Alligator mississippiensis: one gene and its partners. The protein of the gene in region 2 interacts with the protein of the main gene of each other region in a biochemical or structural test. Links are inferred from orthologs where the notes say so. Each region holds a gene or a part of one and is shown on either strand. Other genes may lie near its edges.

Evidence for each region.
Region 1: the proteins of RPS6KA1 (region 2) and HTRA1 interact in a test that uses a peptide from one of them, tested with the Homo sapiens proteins (2 studies listed by BioGRID and IntAct, with this or other methods). The link is inferred for Alligator mississippiensis from reciprocal best matches to the Homo sapiens genes RPS6KA1 and HTRA1.
Region 3: the proteins of RPS6KA1 (region 2) and PDZRN3 interact in a test that uses a peptide from one of them, tested with the Homo sapiens proteins (2 studies listed by BioGRID and IntAct, with this or other methods). The link is inferred for Alligator mississippiensis from reciprocal best matches to the Homo sapiens genes RPS6KA1 and PDZRN3.

The regions. Positions count from the first base shown.
Region 1 is NC_081829.1:84,971,884-84,979,513, reverse strand, and holds the start of HTRA1 (serine protease HTRA1), read left to right. Parts: upstream 1-4,629; 5' UTR 4,630-4,683; coding exon 4,684-5,110; intron 5,111-7,630. UniProt on the Homo sapiens protein: Serine protease with a variety of targets, including extracellular matrix proteins such as fibronectin. HTRA1-generated fibronectin fragments further induce synovial cells to up-regulate MMP1 and MMP3 production.
Region 2 is NC_081829.1:3,029,602-3,037,261, reverse strand, and holds the start of RPS6KA1 (ribosomal protein S6 kinase alpha-1), read left to right. Parts: upstream 1-4,657; 5' UTR 4,658-4,675; coding exon 4,676-4,804; intron 4,805-7,660. UniProt on the Homo sapiens protein: Serine/threonine-protein kinase that acts downstream of ERK (MAPK1/ERK2 and MAPK3/ERK1) signaling and mediates mitogenic and stress-induced activation of the transcription factors CREB1, ETV1/ER81 and NR4A1/NUR77, regulates translation through RPS6 and EIF4B phosphorylation, and mediates cellular proliferation, survival, and differentiation by modulating mTOR signaling and repressing pro-apoptotic function of BAD and DAPK1.
Region 3 is NC_081835.1:8,314,914-8,322,597, forward strand, and holds the start of PDZRN3 (E3 ubiquitin-protein ligase PDZRN3), read right to left. Parts: upstream 3,002-7,684; 5' UTR 2,919-3,001; coding exon 2,199-2,918; intron 744-2,198; exon of another isoform or gene 494-743; intron 1-493. UniProt on the Homo sapiens protein: E3 ubiquitin-protein ligase. Plays an important role in regulating the surface level of MUSK on myotubes. Mediates the ubiquitination of MUSK, promoting its endocytosis and lysosomal degradation. Might contribute to terminal myogenic differentiation.

The DNA of each region.
Region 1 (7,630 bases), about 82 Mb from region 2:
GAACTGTGAAGAAGTTCTTCCTAATGTCCAATCTAAATCTGCTCTCTGCTAGCTTGTGGCCATTGTTTCTTGTAACCCCCGGGGGTGCCTTGGTGAATAAATACTCACCAATACCCTTCTGTGCCCCCGTGATGAACTTATAGGCAGCCACAAGGTCGCCTCTCAACCTTCTCTTGCGGAGGCTGAAAAGGTCCAGTTTCTCTAGTCTCTCCTCATAGGGCTTGGTCTGCAGGCCCTTGACCATACGAGTTGCCCTTCTCTGGACCCTCTCCAGGTTATCTGCATCCTTCTTGAAGTGTGGCGCCCAGAATTGCATGCAGTACTCCAACTGCGGTCTGACCAGCGCCCGATAGAGGGGAAGTATCACCTCCTTGGACCTATTCGTCATGCATGTTGATCTTTTTAAAAGTTTCTAGCTATCCCTCTGTCTATAGGGACTAAGCTGTTATGGAAATTATCCAGATTTGAACCTAATTTTTTGGGAGAAACCATACTCAATATCTTATTGTACAAATTCTTAGATCATATGGCTGAAAGGGATTGTTGGCTCATTTGGTAATTACATGCCTTTACATTTTACCATTATCCCTCAATAACTTAATTTGACTGAAGTTTATCTTCCAGAACTGCATCCAATCTTGATTGGATGATTAATCACTCCATTGTTAGAAATTTGTGTCTTATTTCTAATTTGATGCATATCTTCTGGCCATTTTCTTGGTAAGCCCCTTTGCTAGTTTAGAGACCTTCAGAACCTGTTCTTCCCCCTTCCCTCCCCCAAGGCATCTGTATTGTGTGAAAAAAAACACCTCTTCTTCCATCTTTTCAGATGCTAAATGAATTGAGCTGTCTTTCACTTGAAGGCATTTTCTCCACCTCAAATTAGTTCTGTGACTTTTTTCTGCACCTCCTACAATGTTACTACCTGGCAGATGCACACTATTCTATCGTTCCCATCAGAGCTGTAGAAGAGTGAGAAATTACCTCCCTATCTTCCTGCTTACTCATCCAAGAAACATATTGGCCTTTTTTGTCACAGCAAAGGGCTTGAGGGTTCACCTTCAATTGTTTCTTTAGTCTGACTCCTAAAGAGTGCAGGCCATACCTGTAGAATAGCAAACTATCCTGACAAGGATCTCTCTTCTGTAGGCATGACCTTCATTCTTTGTTCCTTAGTGTTACCTGCATATGCATTCAAATGAATGAGCTTCCTGACTGCCCATCCTCTTGAGTGCTTGCCATTCTACCAATCTTTGTGTTATCAGCAAATGTTATATTTACTTTCAGGTCCTTCATTAAAATGTTGAACTGTATTGGCTCAATACAGATCCTGACAAGTAAGGTGCACTACAGTACCCCACTTGGTGGTGATTACCTATTCATTTTTTTGAGAGATCAGGTAAAATCCATTTACTTATGTCCATCACACTGCTAGTTTTAAATAGGATGTCATGCTGTGCAAAGTCAAAAATTAGTATCACACCTACCTCAGCAAGCTTGTGTGATTAAAGGTAACTTTTATAGGAAACCCTTGCTATTTACAGATTTGGCATTCGTGGTTTCGAGTATTCGCGGTGCAGTGCGATGACACTTCATTACAACGCTGGCGGCATCTGTGGGAGCTCTGCGCTTGCCACTGCTGGGCTCCCGCCAGCGCAGCCCTGCCCCCCCAGCTGCTGGGGGCACGCTCCGTTCATGAACACAATGTTCATGAATGCCGTGCAGTATTCATGGATGGGATCTCTAGAACATATCCCCCTGCGAATGGTGACAGTCTCCTGTAATTCTCATTATTACTTTCCTGCCAGTATCAAAACCCTGCCAACAACCCTGAATTGTAACACTTGTGCTTTATTTAGGCAGGTAAAAATCCCCATCTAAGAGGGAAGTAGGATGTCTAGACCTTCAGAAGTACATCTATGCTGAGCTTTTCAGCTGTGGGGTGGGGCTTTTTCTGCCTCCTTACAAAATGCACTTGCAAAAGCCTAGTGTTTGGTGTGATGCTGACAAGTACTGTGAGAAGCCTGCTTTTCCTTGGGTGGAAACTTGCTCCCCTTCCCCATTCTCCCGAAGTCTGTTCATGGGTAATCCTCCTGATTTGAGGATGATCTCTACCACAACTCAGTGACGGGTCTTAAGGTGATTTAAGAGTCCAATCCTTGAGCCATAAACCCAGCTGCAGAAGCTGCAGGTCTTTTTGCAGGAGAATGTAGGCTGTCAGCTAGGATTTCTCTCCTTTTCCTTCCTCCAATTTTCCCTTCTGTGCTTGGAGCACAAAATGCTTTTCCTTGAACTGGGCTGTTACTTGGTTGAGGCTGAGGAGCCACTGCAGCTGGTCATCAGCCAGCTCCCTTTTCTTAATGTCCGCCTTTGACCTGTCCTTGCCTGGTGTCCTCAGGCCTCCGTGAGATCTTAAGCTGGGAGCAGAGCACTTGTTTTGCCCGTCGCAGTCTGTTATTGCCGCAAGGCAAAAATGCAGGACGGTGGTTCTCAGCTTTTTTTTTTTTTTTTTTTCTTCAGCTCATGGAAGCAGACAGGAAATGCCAGTCTCCCCCCTTTTTCTTTTGACCCTGGAAAAGTAACAAAGCAATTCTGCTGCTGCCACGAACCTAAAGACAGTGCAGGGCAGAGCTTCCCAGCCCCAGTGCTCCTCCCCTGCAGCCCTTGTTCTTTATCTTGGGAAGCGAGTGCAGATGCCACCGGGAGCAAGAATCACTGTGCAGGGGGCAGTGGTTTGGGTCCCCTGAGAGGAAAGGGGGCTCCTTCTCTCCAGCAAGCAGCCATTCCCCAGTTGCTTTCTGCCTTGGGGTCAGGTATCCAGGTTGTTTTAAGGGAATATGACTACATCCTGCTTATCACCAAACCACTTTGAGGTAACTAAACTACTCCAACTTTTCTCTGAGCCTAATCTGCATCTAAAACAAATTGTTTCAAACAGGAGATTTACTACACCTTCACCCCTCCTGTGAAATATGAACTTTCATTTCTATCCAGGAAGACTTTTACAATCTTTTCTCCGATGCCTGGAGAAGGGTGTTTGTGCCCAAAAGCTTGCAATTATGGTTTCATTAAAACTTGCCTGTGTACTAGCTTTTTCAGGGTTATAGTAACCCTATTTCATATACAGGCAGTCCTCAATTTACAACGTTTCAAGGTTTATAAACTAACACCGTTTCAACTTTCTGACGTTGGCTTTGACTTTACAACACTTGATCCGACGCCACGCCAGTGAACGAGTTCACTGCGTCACCCATCTCCCTGGAGTACATCTGTCCGAACTTCCTTGGACACTTTCTTTAAGAAAGCAGACAAGACTCCTGAGAAGACTCCAACAAGGAACCATGTGAAAATCCAGCAAAGTCACCTCAAAGAAGTCCTTCCAAATCAATATGATTGCTATTCACAATAGAAATACCAGGGCTGTACGAAGCTTTGGTTGCTGATTCAATTTGGAGGAGATTTGGCCCGATTTGGTGGCCAAATCTCTAAATCTGAATTGAATCAGGAGACCCATTAAACTCTCCAAATTGAATTGGAAGCCTCCGAATCGATTTGGAGAGATTTGATGATTCGGCCATAGACATAGCTTCATATGTTTTTTTTTTTCTACATACCACAAGGTACCCGGTGGCTCATAAACGCTGAGATGGTGGGGTGGATGGAGCATCCCACGGGAATTTGGGGTGGGGTGGACCCGCAAGTGGACCAGAAGCACTTCCAGTCCACTTCCGGGTTCATGGTGGAGGCCCCCCCCCCCACTCCTGTGGGGTGCTCCTTCTGCCCCAGCATCGCAGCGTTCACAAGCCGCTCTGGTACCTCGAGGTATATAGAAAAATATTTAAAACTGTCTGTAGCTGAATCGCTGATTCTCTGAATCAGCATCGAATCTTCAGATTTGGCCAAATTGAATTGGGACATATATTCGAATCAGTGAATCGAATCACTGTCCCCCAAATCAGGCTGAATCCAAATCCGGATCACATAAGGCCCACTTCATGCCCCCTGAGCAAATACATGAATGTAGTCATCAATAATGGCTTGAGTACAAAATTCAGGGTTACTTTTGCTGCAAATAGGGGTTGGGGCTTGGTTCAAGAACCAGTTCCTCCCCCATTTATAACATTGTTTCCTATGGGGAAATCAGCTCCGAATTAGGACATTTCGACTTCAGACGCCGTTTTCAGCAGAGTCGTGTCACAAGCCTGAGGACTCCCTGCGCTCATCTACAATGACTGCAGTACAACATTTTGGCTTCCTTTGGGTGAAAAGAGGGGGTCGGGCTTGGTTCAAGCCCGTTTATAACACAGTTTCCTATGAGAAAACCAGCTCCGAGTTACACTTCGGTTTCAGGCGCGGCTTTGGGAAACTCGGTTTCGAGTCGCAGAGCCGCGTCTTCAATTCGAGGCTTGGAAGAAGAAAGGGGTTTTTTTTTTTCTTATTTATTTTTTATTTATTTTTCTCTTTTAGTCGGTTTTGGGGGAAGACATCAGCTCCCTGCCCCCTTGCGTGGCTCGGGCCGGGGCGGCGCGGAGGCGCAGGCGGCCAGCCCTCCGCCCGCCCCGCGGCGGGGCTTGCCCGTGCGGCCGCCCCGCCCCGCCCCGCCGCCCCGGAGCATCTCCCCGGCTCGAGGCGCAGCGCTGCTCGCCGCCCGCCCGCCCGCCCGCTCGCTGCCCGCCGCCCAGGATGCTGCTGCCGCTGCTGTTGCTGCCGCTGCTGCCGGCGCCGGGCTCGGCCGTCTGCCCCGAGCGCTGCGAGCCCGAGCGGTGCCCGGCGCTGCCGGCCCACTGCGCCGCCGACTTGCCCGACCCGTGCGGCTGCTGCCGCGTGTGCGCCGCGCAGGAGGGCGAGCCGTGCGACGGCCCGGGCGAGCTGCCCTGCGGAGAGGGGCTGCGCTGCCTCGCGCCGCCCGGCGCGCCCGGCGCCCCCGCCTCGGCCACGGTGCGCAAGCGGGCGCGGGCCGGGCGCTGCGTGTGCGCCAGCAGCGAGCCCGTGTGCGGCAGCGACGCCGTCACCTACAGCAACCCCTGCCAGCTGCGCGCCGCCAGCCGCCGCTCCGAGCGCCTCCGGCAGCCGCCCGTCATCCTCATCCAGCGCGGCGCCTGCGGACACGGTGAGCCCGCGACCGGCGCCCTCCTCGGGCAGGGGGGAGCCAGGCTGGCGCCGAAGAGGAAGGCTTGGAAAGTTCCTCTTGGCGAGGCTTTGTCCGGAGAAGAAGCGAGCTGTGCAGAGGGAAGCGGGGCCCGACTCTTTGCACCTGCTTTCGGGACTTGGAAAAGTTCCCACCCATCGCAGCCCCGTGTGGAGCAGGCGTGGCTGCTCCTCACTCACCCGCCTTTCTCCGTAGGTGCTGTGCCCCTAGGGTCATTCGTGCCCTTCAGTCCCAAAGGAGGGGTGCGGCCTGCTGCCACCTCCCTTGGGTGTTTGTGACGGGGTCGTAGATTCATTCGTGCCGTTCAGTCCCAAAGAGAGGTGCCCTGAATGGCCCCTGCCACCTCCCTCGGGTGTTCGTGGCGGGGTCGTAGATTCATTCGTGCCATTCAGTCCCAAAGGAGGGGTGCGGTCCCTCTGGATGGCCCCTGCCATCTCCCTCGGGTGTTCATGACAGGGTTGTAGATTCATTCGTGCCGTTCAGTCCCAAAGGAGAGGTGTGGTCCGTCTGGATGGCCCCTGCCACCTCCCTCGGGTGTTCATGGCGGGGTCGTAGATTCATTCGTGCCATTCAGTCCCAAAGGAGGGGTGCGGTCCCTCTGGATGGCCCCTGCCATCTCCCTCGGGTGTTCATGACAGGGTTGTAGATTCATTCGTGCCGTTCAGTCCCAAAGGAGAGGTGTGGTCCGTCTGGATGGCCCCTGCCACCCCCCTTGGGTGTTCATGATGGGGTCAGGGTCTGCCATGGGGAGGTGAATAACATGAGGGGCAGGCTGAGAGGAGGGGAAGTTGGGTACAAAGCAGAGATGCCCCTTGTGGACCTGCTGAAGCAGAGGTGCCTTAGCTTCGTGAGCCCCGGCTTGCTTCATCAGAAGCACTTATTTTGCATCTTCCCAAGTTCAGTTGGGAATCCTCAAGCCTGTGGCTGCTCATCTTCTTCAGGGTCCCCAGATACAGCCCAGCTTCGGTGTGGTCCGCTCTGTGGCTGGCAGGCGGAGTGTGGACTTCGATCTGCAGGTTGGAACGTGAATGCCTCAAACCATTCCTGTGTCCCTCAGGCCCAAGAGTGCATGAACTGGGGTATTTCTGGTCCCCGTCAGGTGCCAATGTGATATAAGGGATGGTTGCTAGGAATATTGTGACTTGAAGAATGACCATTTGGTTTCCCTCTTATGCACTTCTGGAAGCTTTGTGACAAAAAAAAAAAAGCTAGAAAATAAACTGTGACCCTTAACATTTTTGATTGTAAATGACATTCCCAACGTCTGTAGCGGGGGAAATGCTCTTGTGAAGTGGCTTCCTTTTCTAGCTGGAGCTGATGCGTCTTGTGGGTGGTGATGGAAAGGTTTCAGACAACTATTAAGTTAACATAGAGCTGTTGAGACATTTCAGAAAGACAGGTGCTCGGTAGTTTATCGGCTATCCTTGGTCGGCAAGGAAGAAGTCCATATTGGATGTGAACTTTGATTTGTAAAGTTCCAGAAGTGCTTAATAAACTGATCCACAGCTTCCAGAGGTGGGTCATAGCACTGAAACACAGTCAGCGCAGGGGTAAAATAAGTAAATTACATATGCACGATTAGGAGAGGATTAAAGAGTTGTCCTTGATTCCTGTAGGGCATTCAAGTTCAGTCAGAAACCAGAGCACGAATGCAACGTGTTGGTTTTTTTTAGTTCACAAATTGATAGAAGGAAAAGAGATGCTATGTTCAGTTTAAGAGCTAAATTTCCCCCTCCTCATTGCTTTTAAGAAAATTAAAATTTTAGGACTGCAGCTTCTTTGGCCCATGTTGAGAATAGAATTGATGCTTGAGGTTGGCTTGTTTTAGCACCCGAAAGCTCCAGAACATAATCGCGTTGCCTGATGTAGGTCTTGAGAAATGTTTTTGAAGGGTCATGTAACGACGTACTCTTTCATGAGGAAGGGTTTTGAAAAGTATAATTTTGTAAAAGCAGATATTGCTATATGGGTGCAATGTGTTTATGTTGGTTGAACAGGCAGTGAGCTACTGTCACCCATCTCATTGGATAATCTGGTCAATAATAATAGATTTATTAGTGGGTAAAGCAAACTGAAAAGCATATGATGTTGATTCCCCTCCACCCCCTGAATTCCCTTGAAAAAGAACATAGTATTTAGTGCAGGGAAAATAATAGTGCAACGAATAACAAGGAGAATGTCACACCCCTCCAACCCTGCCCCCACCCTCCTTTGACGGTATTATAAGTATTTATAGCTGTGTTGAGTCTGACAAATTAGAGGGGAAATAACAGGCAAAAGTTTCACTGAGCCAGCTAAATGTGCATGTAAATACGTTACACCAAAGTGGATCTAAATGCATTTGAGTCAAATTTCTTTCACTGTGCACATTGAAATGTATTACATAATATACATAATATATAATACATAATTCAGAGTTTAAAAATGACAGAATTCTCTTCTCAAGTTAACAGCAGTAATAAAGACATAAGGTGTACCAGA
Region 2 (7,660 bases):
GCATCTCAATGAAGCCAATAGGCGATGGAGGCAGGAGCAGGCTCCTTTCTCCTCTCTCTAGTTGAATTACAATATGCTTTGCTCTGTGTTTCAAATACAGTCCCTCTGAGTATTGTCCATTAACCTCCCAATGTGAGCTTGAAAAATTGTCTTATTTTCCTACTGGGTGCTGTGCCACTGAAGTGCTAGAAAAAGACTGTGCCGTAAGCAGAGCACCCCATCCATAGCCACATGCTCACCAACGTTTCCACACAAAAAGAAAACTCGCTTATTTTTTAACATCTTTCCATTGTTTACAACAGCAAAAGTGACCTCTGGGTCAAAGACTTCCCAGCAGTTAATGACCAGCTGGCTTAAGGTTATATATCCTCAGCTGCTCCAGAGGATTGCGAAGGACCTGATCTTCCAGGACCTCCTCTTTGAAGTCAGTAGGAGCTGTGCGCACCAACTGGTGGGAAATGCCCTCTCAGCCTGTCCTTATGATTAAATCTAACACTTTGGTTTGACAGCAGAGTTGGATGAGCCGTGAAGTGCGCAGTGCCTCCTCGACGGGCTTCTCAAAGGTCACTTCAAAGAGACCTAAATATGAACACGGGTAGGTTTGAAACAGTGAAACTGGGAAATGGCTGTTCTGTTCTACTCAGGGTCCTGAGCGCGCCACACCAGGTGTTATTCTGTATGGGCCCATGTATTACAGGCCAATTAAGGAAACATAAAGAAATACAAAAAACGGCATGGACCCCGCAAACAAATCAAAGGACAAAAATCGGACATTAGCTTTGCCGGCTTCCCACCAGTTTGGCGGCACAGCTCTTGTTGACTTCTGCACAGAGGTCCTGTGAGATCAGGTCCCTCTCAATCAACTGGAGCAGCTGAGGATATAACCGTAATCCAGCTGGTCACTAACTGCTGTGAAGTCTGTGACCCAGAGCTTGCTCTTGCTGTTAATAAATAGTGGAAAGATGTTAAAAAATAAGTGAGGGTTTGTTTTTGTTTTTTTATGTGTGGAAACATTGGTAAGCACGTGGCTGTGGATGGGATGCTCTGCTTACAGCACGACTCTTTTTCTAGCGCTTCAGAATGGGGTAGTAGAAAAATAAGACCAGTTTTCAAGCTCACAGTGGGAGGTTAATGGACAAGACCCAGAAGGATTGTCCAGCACTGAGGCTGTCTCTTAACTGATGCTATTCAAAGCAGGTTTGATTCTGCCCCAGCCGAAGAGTTATCATAGGGAGGCCACTATCTGCACTTCTGGCCATGAATGAAAGCTCTGGAGTTAGATGAAATAACCCTACGCGAGACTCATCACAGCTTGCTCTCACAGTAACTGCCATGAAGCCTGGATGTCTATAACAAGCCCTTACCCATATCATTCTGGTTCATTCAGCCTCCCAGGTTTATCGCCCAAGGGGTGGCTTTGAGGAATTATCTTCTTCAGATGACCTCATGCGTGAAACAGATGATACTAACTGACCACATACGATGTTGTGAAGGCTACTTGGAAAGGCCATTAATCTATGTTTTGAAGTGTTTTGAAGATTTACAGTGGGATTTTCAAAAAGCACTTGGCATTGAGCTGATTTAGCTCTCCTAGTTTGGGCTGAATAGATTGTGGGTCTGGGGGCCTTAGGTTGTTAGCTCTTTGGGACAGGAACTGTATCTTTGTGCATTGCACAGAACTGAGCACATTGCTTGGGCTTGTTAAATAGCAAGAGAATACTCTTGGCTGCCATGTTGATGAATATGCTTCTAATCTGCAGCTTGTCTTTTAAAACATACTTATTTAACAAGCAGCTTTATAATGAAATGCAACGGTGGGGTCGCAGAAGACGAGTGTTGAAGCAGTGCAGTACTATGCTCTGCTCAGTACGCATTGTATTTAACAGGGCATTTCTAAAACACCTTTCATCTGAAGATCTCTAGAGCCCCACGAACTTTAGATAAGTCCTTCTCCATTTTATGGAGAGACTGGAAAACAGAGATGTCATGAAAAACAGGGACTGGAAAACAGAGTTCCAACCTGTCCTGCGTATCATTCAATAATCCTCCAGACCCCTGCTTTCTGGTGGCCTTCTCCAGTGTTGGTATATGCAGCGAAGGCAGCAAACAGCTCTGTAAACGCACAGGAGAAGCACCAGGCTCCGGTTGGCTCTCAGTAGGTGCCGGGTGTCTAGCTGCCCTGTGTGCTTCTGGAAATATCCTCTATAAGCAATAATTTTTGTGTCAAGAAGAGAATGTTTAAAACCACCCAAAGCCACAAGGGGATTTCGAATGTAAAACTCCAGGGCTCTGTATGTTCAGGCGTTTTCATCTATATTAGGAAAGATCCTGTCACTGAGGAGCTACCAGTCAAATGGTGCACGTAAATGCCTGTGCATTATCACCAGCTTCGTTGGGATGAAGTGTTGCCACGTGCTGAGAGACTGGTCTGTTTAATGTCCTTAGCTGTATACATCTGCTGACAGTTTGATTTGATCCGTCTTCCTTCCTCTGCCTGTCTTGCACAAGCGAACATGAGGCTTCGTCCCAGCTTCCCTCATAATTGTATCCCTTGAACGTGCTTATCCTTGCCAGGTGTCTACACATTCATAGATCTTAGGGCTAAATAAAACAATTGCGATCTTCTCATCTGACCTCTTCTATAAGTCAGAGAATGACTTTTACCTGTAACTTATGTATGAAGCCTTTGTCTTGTTCTCTAGTATGGGGTTCTGTTTTGGGTTGCTTTCTTGGGAAGCACCCAGCCATAATTTCAAAACTTTAGGAGGTGGAGTCCACCACTTCCCTTGACACCACTTGGAATGACTTAATTGCTTTCACTATTCGACATTTGATCCTTATTCCTACCCTATCCAGCTGCACCTTCAGTTTAGCCTGGTTATGGCCAGTTCTGCAACATCACCCTTGTTTGAAATGTTTTATGGATCTGTCCATCCTACATGACAGACATGCACTCTCCAAATCTTCCCCGCATCGCTTTTGCCCTGGCTTCTTCCCTGTCCCTTCTCACCACCTTCCCAGTGGTAGCATGCAAAAGCCACCTCCGCCGTAGCACCTGTCAGCAAGCACAGCCTTCCCACTTCCTCAGCAGCTGGTTTTTCACAACTCTGTCCCACCACACCTCTGCCTGTTGTCGGGATATTGTGTATGCCACCGTCTTCCCACTTGTACAGTTCTGGAGACCGGTCTGGGTGGAAGACCCTTACACTGCATAAGGCTGTGTGGTGCTGTGGTAGGCGGGGGATTGTATGTTAGGGGCAAGGTGAGAAACTCAGTGGAAAGGGCATGATGCCAGTGGAAATCAGCTGTCCTAAAAGCATAAGAATTGCTGTTTACTGGGACAGACCATAGGTCCCTCTTTGCTGTGGCAGAGAGCGGGGGCTGGAAGGGAGAGCGACCTGGGTCTGACCAGGGGTTTTGCCCCCTGTTCCTCTCTCCCTTGCAGCCTCCAGCATTTCGGGTCTGATTCGGAGGTCGTGCCCCTCACTCTCATGCTCAATAGTGACCCCCAAATATGTGTCCAGTCCCTTTGTGAATGTGGTTGAACTCTCAGCGTCCACCGCCTCTGGTGGCAACGACCCCCAGCCTTTAATGATGCGCTGGGGGAAAACGAACTTCCTTATGTTCATTTTAAACCGACGACCTGCTCGTTTTACCGTGCGACCCCTCGTTCTCATCTTGCGAGCGAGAGCCAGTAACAAATCCCCGTTGACTTCCTCTTCGCCATTTAGTTTTGTGTAAACCCTCGTCATGTCGTCCCCCCCCCCATGGCCTCTCCTTCCCGCACTGAGCAGCTCTGGCCTCATCGGGAAGCCCCTCCATGCCGCTCATCATCCCCGTCGCCCTTCTCTGGGCCTTAAACAACCTGCTGTGAGGCTGGGAGAACGGGCTGGCGTCCAAAGCAATTCAGATGGGAGAGGTTCATAGATTCATAGATGTTAGGGTCGGAAGGGACCTCAATAGATCATCGAGTCCGACCCCCTGCATGGGCAGGAAAGAGTGCTGGGTCTAGATGACCCCAGCTAGATGCTCATCTAACCTCCTCTTGAAGACCCCCAGGGCAGGGGAGAGCACCACCTCCCTTGGGAGCCCGTTCCACACCTTGGCCACTGGAACTGTGAAGTTCTTCCTAATGTCCAGTCTAAGGAGAGGGGTCTAAAGCAGTTCAGGTTGGAGAGGGGTCTAAAAATTCAGATGGGAGAAGAGTCTAAAACAATTCAGGTGGGAGAGGGGTCCAAAGCAGTTCAGGTGTGCGCGGGGTGCCGCGGGGCCGGGGGCACGCACGCGTGCAGCGGGTCCGCTTCCCCACCGCCTGCCGGGGCGCGCCGCGACGGGACGGGAGCGCTGCCAGGAGAAACCCAGAGGGTTTTGTACGAGTCCCAGGTCGAATGAGCCCGCTCGGGTCCGACCCGTGCGAGTCGCCGGTAGCGGGGCCACGTGCGAGCATCCTCCGCTCCGCTCCCCTCCGCTCCCCTCCCCCGGCAGCTTGCGAGGCCGAGGGCGCCCGGGCGGGAGGGCGGGCGGGCTGGCAGCCGCGCTCTGCTCCGCCGGGGCCGGGGGCGGGGCGGGGCGGGGCGGGGGGCGGCGCCGTGCCGGCCGGGCGGAGCCGGCTGCAGCCAATGGAGGTGCGGGGGCCGGCGCCGGGCTCCTCCCCGCCGGGGGAGGCCGGTGCCCAATGGGGGCAGCGGGCGGCGGCTCCGAGCAGCTCGCCGCCGCCGCCGCCGGGATGCCGCTGGCGCAGCTGGGCGACCCGTGGCCCGCCGCCGCCGCCGCCGCCGAGGAGCTGGTGCAGCTGGACGCCGAGGTGAGCCGCGCGCCCGCCGCGAAAGTTTGCAGCGGACAAAGGGTCGGGAGGGAGGGGCTGTGCCCTGTCCTTCCCTTCCCTTCCCTTCCCTCTGCCCGCATCTCTGCGGACACCCCCTCTCACCCCCGCCCCCCACCCGCTTCCCGGAGGGCTTTGGAGGGACGGCGGCGTCGCGCCCGTGTGTCGCCGGCCCCCAGCACCGCGTGCGCCCCGAGGCGCCCGCTTCCCTTTACGGAGGGCAGGACGTCTACCCTGACCGCGGGCCGCCGTCGGGCTCTCGGGCGCGTCCAGCGGAGTTTGGGCTGGCCCCCGCGGCGCCGAGTCGCTTGCTGCGGGGTGGGTCGCGTCCTTGCCTCGGGCGCGATCGTGTCTCGCCGTGCCCGCGGTGCCCCCCGCCGCCCCCTCTCCCGAGCGTGTTCGCGGACACGCGCTGGCACCGGGGCACGTCTCGCGAATCTCCGGGGGGGCTAGAAGCCCCGGGGAGGCGCTCGCGGGTGCACGCTCTCCCCTCCCGCTTAATTCAGGCCTCCGATCGAGGTCTTCAGGGACTTGAATGCCGTCTGCCCTCTTAAGGGTGCCGTAGACCACAGAACCGTCCAAGGCAAAGCGCAGGCGTGGGCAACCACCGTGCCGTCCCACCGTGCTCCTTTGCCCGGTTCCTGCGAACGCGAATCGGCCTCTTCGTGGCACGGTCGCCGCGCGTGGGGTTTTTCGTAAGCCCGGATGCTGTTTCTTCCATCTTGCAAGCTGCCCCTGGACGCGGCAGTGTCGTGCTCTGGGCTCGCAGGCTTTCTCACTAAGGTCGACTGGTCCCGACTCTTTGAGAGAGACTCCTCTGTCTTGCAGGTTTGGGAGGGGGAATGGGTGGTCAGAGCTGCTTTTTCACCAGCCACCTCGCAAGACTTGGACTGGATGCTTCACCCCGCTTGCCTGGCAGCAGGGTCACGGGGCTCCACCTGCCGTGGGCTGGACGGGCACCTGCAGCGGGCTACCAGCATCTGCCGTAAAGCTTTTGGAGCCATTAGGATGCGTGTGCGCACCAGGGTGGGAGAAAAGAGTGAGAACTCATTCTGCAACGATTCAATCTCCCTGCCTGATATCACAGAGTGCTTTCAGGCCTGCCCATTGTGGTGAGGCAGCACAGATCCACAAGATAACAGCGTCACAGTAAAACACGACGGCGCTTTAGGCTGTTTTTTTAAATTTTAAGTTGGGAGGCTTCACGTGAAGCCAGACGACGCGATAAAAATAATGGGAGGGGAGAAGCGAACATCCGTGCCCAGTGCTGTTGGCAGGAGTGAGACTTCTGCTTGATCCTACAGACAGACTGTGTTTTTGTGTCTAATGTCTCGCTGCGGTGCCAACACGGGCAATGCTCTGCGTCTGGTCTGCAGGGGTTGGGTTCTTTTGTCTGCTGCATTTGGCGGTTGGAGGTCTCTGAAGTTTGAGAGAAACAGGGCAGAGAGGGAGCTAATGCAATGGCGCATTCTTGCCTATTGCCTCCCAGGTAGCCTACCCAAAAATGCAAGGTCTCCCTTGCGCTTGGCATCTCTAAAACTCAGTCCTATAGCTTCCGGGATCATTTTATTCTGCAGGCCTGAGTTCATTTGCTAACATCCCAACTAGCTCGAGAGGCGGTAGGTATACCCATGTGCTGGATCTCACGTTGCAGAATGGATGGTGTCAATAGCTTTTTGTTTTGCCTCCAAGATTGACTGCCATCTTCTGCGCCGGATGTCAGCATGTTCCCTCTGCGGCAGCGGAGTATCTGTCTGGCCGTGATTGAAAACCTGAGTCTGAGCCATGCCCTGCATGGGCTGAGGTTACTCCAGGGCAGCGGAAGCAAGTGGTCCCTGCTACGGCAGGAAGGTAGTTAAGAAATGGAAGAGACTTTTCTGGAATGTGAGTTACGTAAATCCCCCTGGGATCCTTGCCACAAATGGGCCTCCTCAAACCTTTGCTCTCTGAGTCACGGCACAGAGGTGTTAGTACGGTGCCGCTGGAGAAATCAGCCCCATTGTTCTGTCACGTTAGTAATCTGGTTCTCCGGTGGTCGCAGTCGGGCCTGTTTGGCACAGCAAGCTGGGGGGCTCCCGCGTGGAGCCCTGAGCTGCCTCCTGGGAAGGGGGACGACTGCACCCCGGGAGCCAAAGTGGAGCACGCTTCAGTGCTGGGGAGCTCCCTGGCAGATCGATCCCCCCCTCACACCACCACCTTCTACCCCTGTGATTCGCAACGCTGTTCTGCGCTCCGGCTGGGACAGCGTGCCAGCACTTGAAAGCAAAGTTGAATGGCTTCATTACCATAGTAATGAAAAGCAGCAGTGCTTTTCTTGAAACTCTTGTTTCATTAGACAAACACACAGCCGCGGAACCGATGTGAAGTTACAACCAACCCCGGTAACTTCAACCTCATTATTTTGCCCATTATACACGTCTTCGCCGAGCACAAGCTATTTGTGCTTGACTGTCTCTTTCAAGCATCTTTGCTGAATAATACATAAAATAACGATGGAAATATAAAGGAAGAGGCTATGCCCTCTCAATCTCTGATACATTTCTCCAGCTCAGCGCAGCCAACTTATTAGTCCTGCAAAGCCCACATGCTGTGTCTGCTTGAATTTTTTTTTTATTTAGTAGGGCTGTTTCTTGTCTCAAAGCCACCCACAGCAAGGTCCTCAAGTTCGATTTCAAAGGCAACGGCAGCAAAACATTTTTTTGTTGTGTCAAATTAGCAAAGACTTCTGACTTAAGGGCTTGATCCTCATTAGAGGAAGTCAGGACTTTGTACAGCCAGGCTTAATTTTAGTGAACAGTGAAACATTTTAGTGAGGAGGTTCCTTTCTTTTGGCTGTGG
Region 3 (7,684 bases), on a different chromosome or scaffold from region 2:
ACATGCGGCAGAAAGTCCGTGCTCAGCCGTTCCACGTCATGAAGACCTCATTAGGAGGAAGCTCCTGATAGCACGTAGCTTGTTTGAGGGGCTCCGAGTTGTGTAAGGTACTAATCCAAGTGACCTCATGCTGCAGAAAGCCATGGTTTGGAGAGCCTGCTCTGGATGATTTAGGGACGTGGAATGCCGGATTTGGAAAGTACTGGGTCATCAAAAACAAAAAAGCGTCTGGTGAGCCGTTCGGGTTCACCTAACTCCTAGCAAGTTGGTGATTCAATGCCATTTTGAATCCTGAAAAATGCTTTTGTGCTGCTTGAGGGGACAAGGAGTGGGGGGAAAGTATTGTGACCTGCATATCTGACTTCAAATTCCCAAGGAGGGTCCCCTTAGAAATACAGGCATAGAAACAGAGAATATAGCCGCTGAATTCTGGTCTTTAAGCATCAGATTTAAAATGCATTTTTTGTTTGTTTGTTTTTTTTAAATCAGGCTCACTTCTCAAGAAGTTAACATCCCAGATAGGCTTGAGCTCCCTGCAGTACAGCTCCCTCAAAGCCCAACCGACAGCACCCTGCGTTACGAATAAGCACATCCAGTTTGCAGTGACAAGCATAAGATCCCAGACACCAAGAGGGAAAAACAATGAACCAGCCTCAGAAGGCATGCGAGCTAGACGGTGGGGGAAATCGTCCAAGAAGTCCAACTCGCATGTGTATGCCAGGAGTTTGAAGCATTAAAACAAGGTAAGGAAAAAAAAATAACGAAGAGAAACATGGACATTTCACCCCCTGGATCTGGGCAACTCCTTTCTAGGGCAGGTTCTATTTCTTCAGTTAGTGGTGAGCAGCTTAGCTGTAAATATTTGCCCTTTGCCCAGAACCGGCCAGCTGGCTGGGACCGCAGCTGACAGACACATCTGCGGGTGGGGAGGGAGGGGGAGAAAAATAGGTCTCAGCCGAAAAAAATCCTGCTCCCTTACCAGACCCTCCTAAGGGGCACAGGGAAGAAAAGTGCTTGCTAGGGAATGTGGTGACTGAACACAAAGTGAGCCCCACCACCCCAACCGTCTCTCCCTCCCTGCCGCGCGCACACACACACACACACACATATGCGCACACGCTCCCTGCCACAAACACGCACACACCCCGCCAGGCACATGGACACACCCAGCCACAAACAAAAACACTCTCTCCCTGCCATGAACCGCCCCCCCCATGGCCCCCTCTGCTGTGCACATGGACACACACATACACACTACTGTTACTCCCTGCCATGCACACACACAGTCACTCTGCCATGTACATGGATACACACACATCCCCTGCCATGCACATGGGCACACAGACACAAACACAATCTCTCCCCGTCATGCACCCCCCCCACCATGCACATGGACACACACTACTCTCACTCCGTCATGCACACACACCATGCACATGGACACACACACACCTCCCACTCCCTGCCACACACACACTCACTGCCCCCCCACCGTCATGCACACACACACACACACATACTCTCTTGGCCATGGCCATGAACACACACATATACACACACTTCTCTGATTCACTCCCTGCTATGCAACACCCCTCCGCCTGCTATGCTCATGGACACACACACACACTCTCTCTCCCTCCTGCCATGCACACGCACACACAGAGCATCTGTGTCTCTCCCTGCTGCCATGCACACACACACACCATGAACATGGACACATGCACACACACTACTCACTCCCTGCCGTGTACACACACACACTACTCTCACTCCCTGTGGTGCACACACACCATGAACATGGACACACACTCACTCTACTCTCACTCCCTGCCATGCACACACACACACACTACTCTCACTCCCTGTCGTGCACACGCACACACCATGAACATGGACACACACACACACACTACTCTCACTCCCTGCCATGCACACACACCATAAACATGGACACACACTCACTCTACTCTCACTCCCTGCCATGCACACACACACACACACACACACACTACTCTCACTCCCTGTCGTGCACGCGCACACACCATGAACATGGACACACACACACACTCACTGTACTCTCACTCCCTGCCGTGCACGCACGCACACACACAGACACACGCGCGCACACACACACACACACACACTCCCCGCCGCCGCGGCGGTCCCGTCTGGCGCGGTGCGTGTGGCGGGTGTCTCACCTTGTCGGGCGCGGGCAGGCAGCGGGCGGCGCCGAGCGAGCGGAGCCGGGCGCTGTACTCGGTGAACTTCTTCTGGTAGCGCAGCGCCGTGACCTGGAGCTCGAGCTGCGCGGCCGCCAGCCGGGCCCGCAGCGCCTGCTCGCGCTTGCCGGCGCGCAGCGCCGCCTTCTTGAGCTCCTTGTCGAGCGCGGCCAGGCGCGCCTGCAGCCCGGCGCCGTGGCCCTGCAGCGCCGTCACGCAGCAGTGCCCGCCGGCGCGGCGCTCGCCGTGGGTGAGCACCAAGCCGCAGCCGCGCTCGCACGGCCCCGCCGCGCGCGCCTCGCAGCGCTCCCGCATGTGCGCCTCCACGTCGCGCCGGTCCAGCACGGCGGCGCAGCCCGGGTGGCGGCAGCGGGCGGGGGCGAAGCCGCACGCCTCGACGTGCGCCGCCAGCTGCTGCAGCGGCACCACGGCCGGGCAGCCGCGCGCGCGGTGCTCGCACTGGATGTCCAGCTTGAGGATGAGGCTCTTGAGCGGCGCGACGTGGTGCAGCTCCTTGGCCGACAGGCGCCGGCAGCGCGCGGGGCAGCTGCCCTGCTGCACGGCCCAAGGCAGCACGCAGCCGGCGCAGAAGACGTGGCCGCACGGCGTGGTCAGCGGGTCCTCCAGCACCTTGTGGCACAGGTCGCACTGCAGCGCCGGGTCCACGTCGCCGTCGAAGCGCTCCAGCTCGAAGCCCATCCCGCCGGCGCACCGCTGCCGCTGCTGCTGGGGCAGGACACGGCGGCGGCAGAGGCTGCTGCTGCTGCTGCTGCTGCCGAGGCTCCGGCTCCGAGGCAGCGCCCCTCCCTCCTCGGGGGAGGGACTCGGCAGCCCTCGCCCCTCGGCTCGGCTCGGCTCGGCTCGGCCAGCTGCAGCCGGGCTGGGGCTGTCCCGCGGGAGCCGCCGGCTTGCAGCGCCGCAGCGGCTGGACGGACGGACGGGCGTCGCGCTTCTGCCGCCGCGGGAAGTGGTGGGAAAGTGGGCTCTGCAGAAGATGCCCACGCACAACCCGTCTGGACCTGCCAGAGAGCAGAAGGTGGGCACACACAAAGCTGGTCTAGAGCAAAAGTTGGGCGCGCAAACACCCGTCTATACCTGTAACAGAGCAGAAGTTGGGCACGCGTACCCATAACAGAGCAGAAGTTGGGCACGCGTACCCTGGCTATACCTCTAAGACAGCAGAAGTTGGGCGCACAAAACCTGTCTGTACCCGTAACAGTAGAAGCTGGGTGCACACAGCTGGTCTATGCCTGGAAGAGAGCAGAAGTTGGGCACGCAGAGTTGGTCTATACCCATAATAGAGCAAAAGTTGGTGATACATACCCATAACAGAGCAGAAGTTGGGCACGCATAACCGGTCTGTACCTGTAAGAGAGCAGAAGTTGGGCATGCAAAGCTGAGCTCTACTCAGAGCAGAAAGTGGGCACCCAAAGATGGTCTAGACCCGTATTGGAGCAACAGTTGTGTGCACAAACCTGGTCTGTACCCGTAACAGCGGAAGCTGGGCACACACAGCCGGTCTATGTCTGCAAGAGAGCAGAAGTTGGGCACGCAAACCTGGTCTATACCCATCAGAGAACAAAAGTTGGGCGCACAACACTTGTCTATACCCATAACAGAGCAGAAGTTGGGCATGCACAACCGGTCTATACCTGTAAGAGAGCAGAAGTTGAGCATACAAAACTGGTCTGTACCTATAATAGAGCAAAAGTTGGGCGCACAAAACCAGTCTATACCCGTAACAGAGCAGAAGTTGGGTGCACATACCCGTAACAGAACAGAAGTTGGGCACACAAAACTGGTCTATACCCGTAAGAGATCAGAAGTTGGGCACACAAAACTGGTCTATACCCGTAAGAGATCAGAAGTTGGGCACACAAAACTGGTCTATGCCCATAATAGAGCAGAAGTTGGGCACACAAAACAAGTCTTTACCCATAACAGAGCAGACATTGGGCATACAAGACTGGTCTATACCCATAACGAAGCAGAAGTCAGGTGCACAAAACTGCTCCACACCCGTAACAGAACAGAAGTCCATTACACAAAACCAGTCTCTACCTGTACCCGAACAGAAGTTCAGCAAACATAGATTGGATTTAAAATAGCAGAACCCGATCTAACCCCCGTCCCCGCCAAAGGGCGAGCGTGTGTTCTGTTCGCTACCAATCTCAACTAGGCCCCTTACAGAAAACCGTGTAACTTAGATGGAGTCCGCCTCAGTCCCTTCCAGCCCTCATTGTCTGTGAGTCTATGGTCCTGAAGCAGAGAGGCTTGTATTAGCCGTCTTCATGCTCAATAACACCAAAACCAGTTGCCGTTTGTACTAAGGTCTTTCTAGATCCTTTCCCCTTCAACCTACACACTTCTTGGGGCACATCCCTACATCCTTGGTTGGTTCCAGCTTGGAGGTCCTAGCAGGATAAAGACCCTAACTGGAAGTACAGCCTCTGCCCTTCCTTGCTAGAGCCCTGCCCTGCTTACTGCTGCTGTATGAAAAAAGAATATATTTTCTATGTGCGCAGGGTCTATTAATGTCCCATTAATGTCAGTAGGAATTATTGGGCCCAGGAAAGGCTAGAGTTTTCAAAAGCAGCTTCTGCACAGAGATCATCTAGCAGCGTTTAAGAAGGAACTAATAAAGAGCTGGTGAATGCTGCCTGTAATCTTGGGACAGCTATTGAAGAAGTGGGAAAGCTATAAATTAAGTATGAACTTGGTGTAGATGGGGAAGCAGATTTATGTGTGTGTGTGTGTATATATATATATATATATATATATATATATAAGCTACACACACACACACACACACACAATTACCACATCTCTGTTCTGGTTTGATGGCTCTCTCAGTAAGCCATATCTTCCAGTTAAGTCAGAGACTTTTGGGACCTGCAACTTCAAGATGACCTTTGGTGTGTCACTGTTACGCCATGGTAGAAGACCTTTCTGAACAGTTACGATTATTTATCTGTAACTAATCTTTAGCACATTGAGACCTAAAGCAGTCCTATCCGTATATTGTTATTTCATTACCTAGTGAGCATTTTGCAGTATTTGCATGTTCTTTAGTTTGTCGCCTTCAATTTTCTTTGCTCTTTCTGTAACCCTCATTTCATTTCAGCCGTTAAGGCTTCTACCCCGCAAAGGCTTAACTGTGCGTGTACAGGTAATACCACTGGAGGCAATGCATGTGCCTCATCAGTTCACACGCATATACATTGTTTTTTACAAGATTGAGGTGATGATTACAATGGGACGTAGGACTCTGCGTATATAATTTAAGTTCAGCCTGAGGGCTTTCACAGCCTGTGTCCGTAAGGCTATGTTTTAATTAGTGTATTCTAATTTAATTTAATGCTGCCTTTGCGAGGATTTGAACTCAGCCCCACAGCTTGTGGTAAAATTGCTCAACTACTTAATTAGACAAACCCCCCAGTGTTTTCAATGGGCGTCTTGCCTGAATGGCTTTGTCCATATGTTACCTATTCTGAGCACACAGGCAGTATAAGCCTCAGTGCCAAAGCTCACTGTAGCAAATGGGAACTCTTTCTTTCATTTTTCCCCCCTTTTAGTTTCCCATGTCCTTTCCCATACTGATGGATCAAGCCCTGCATGTCTAATTGATATTTAGGGTTGATCCAAGGTTGCCCTCAACCAACACAAGGCATGTGAGCTGTGCTTCTCCATCTATGTTATGCTCTGTAGTCTGTACCAAGGCTTTCCACGTTGTGCTGCCTAGTTGTGAAGTGGCATTTATTTATGATGATGGCGCTTTCCTAGGAATCGCTTGCAATCTGCTTATCTCTGCATACAGGCCGACGAAAGAGGAAACAGGGAGCAGAAGGGCCAGAAGTCAGGCACATGGAGTCGTGGAACTGGAGGTTGGAGTCTGAATGCCTGGGTAAGTTCCAAGCGGTCTACAGAAAAAGTCTGGCAAACTGAGGTGGCTGAGCTTTCCGGATCGGGATCACTCTCCAGAGTTTACAGATAAACAGTGGGGAGCTGTGGGTTATGGAGGTCATCACCTTATGACCCACCATAACTGCTGAAGTAAACCTAGGCAGCAATGTAAGCCTAGCTTAGGCCATGTTACAAAGGGGAAATTATCTAGCAAAGCTATTTGATTGCAGAGTAAATTATTTTGCAGTAACTATTCTGGGTTAGCTTCATGGGCAGCCACACTGCTCTGAAATAAAAATTACTTTATTGTAAAAATGCTCTGCTTGTGAAGCTTAGTCAGCAAGAAGTATGCAGGTCAGGCTCCTCAGACAAGGCCCTATTCAAGTATTATACTGTGTAAATTCCTTAGGTCAGATAGTCTCTCTCTCTCTCTTCATGTGTATATATATATCTATATATATAATATGAGCAAGAACTTAAATAATGTGTTCATTTGGAGTCCCACCCAGGCGGATGCTGCTGTGCCTCTGGTGAATCTATAGATATATATAGAGAGAATCTATAGATTCAGCAGCGGCAGCAGCATCTGCCTGGGCGGGACTCCAAATGAAAACATTATTCAAGCTCTTGCCCATATTTTCCATCCAGATAGTTGAATAGTTTCAAGTAACTTAAGAAACCTGGCCCTAATTTTGCTCCATTTAAAAAAGAAAAGTCTACGGAAGTTTTGCTATTGGCTTCAATAGGAGCAGGAACCATCAATATGGTGCTGGCATTGTTAAAATAATGAACCCAACATGCAATAGCTAGTAATATACATAAGGGTACTACAAAGGCAAAGGTAATATATAATGCAATAATATTTGTTGCCTTGTTGGTCTCATACGTATTTGATCTATCTATCTATCTATCTAGATATAGATAAATATAGATATAGATAGATAAACTATGTTTGAGACCAACAAGGACAAGGCAACAAATATCATTGCATTATATATTACCTTTGCCTTTGTAGTACCCTTATGTATATTACTAGCTATTGCATGTTGGGTTCATTATTTTAACAATGCCAGCACCATATTGATGGTTCCTGCTCCTATTGAAGCCAATAGCAAAACTTCCGTAGACTTTTCTTTTTTAAATGGAGCAAAATTAGGGCCAGGTTTCTTAAGTTACTTGAAACTATTCAACTATCTGGATGGAAAATATGGGCAAGAGCTTGAATAATGTTTTCATTTGGAGTCCCGCCCAGGCAGATGCTGCTGCCGCTGCTGAATTATGTGATACTCACAAGTACTACATTTTATGTAGGAACAGACTCATAGTTATGAATGGAGCCTAAAGTTTGACGAAAACTTTACCATATGTTCGTTTATAAAAACGAAACAAAAAAAAAAAAGTTTTAGGAAGATGGCAGGGGACTGCAGTTGAATTCCTCTTCTCACAACTGTTACACAGGAGGAAAATGTGACTGGAGCCATTCCCACTTGAGACACTTATATTTCATTTTTCCCTTAAAAAAGAAAAAAAATCTCTCTATGTGAGCCTTTTAATGTTTTTTT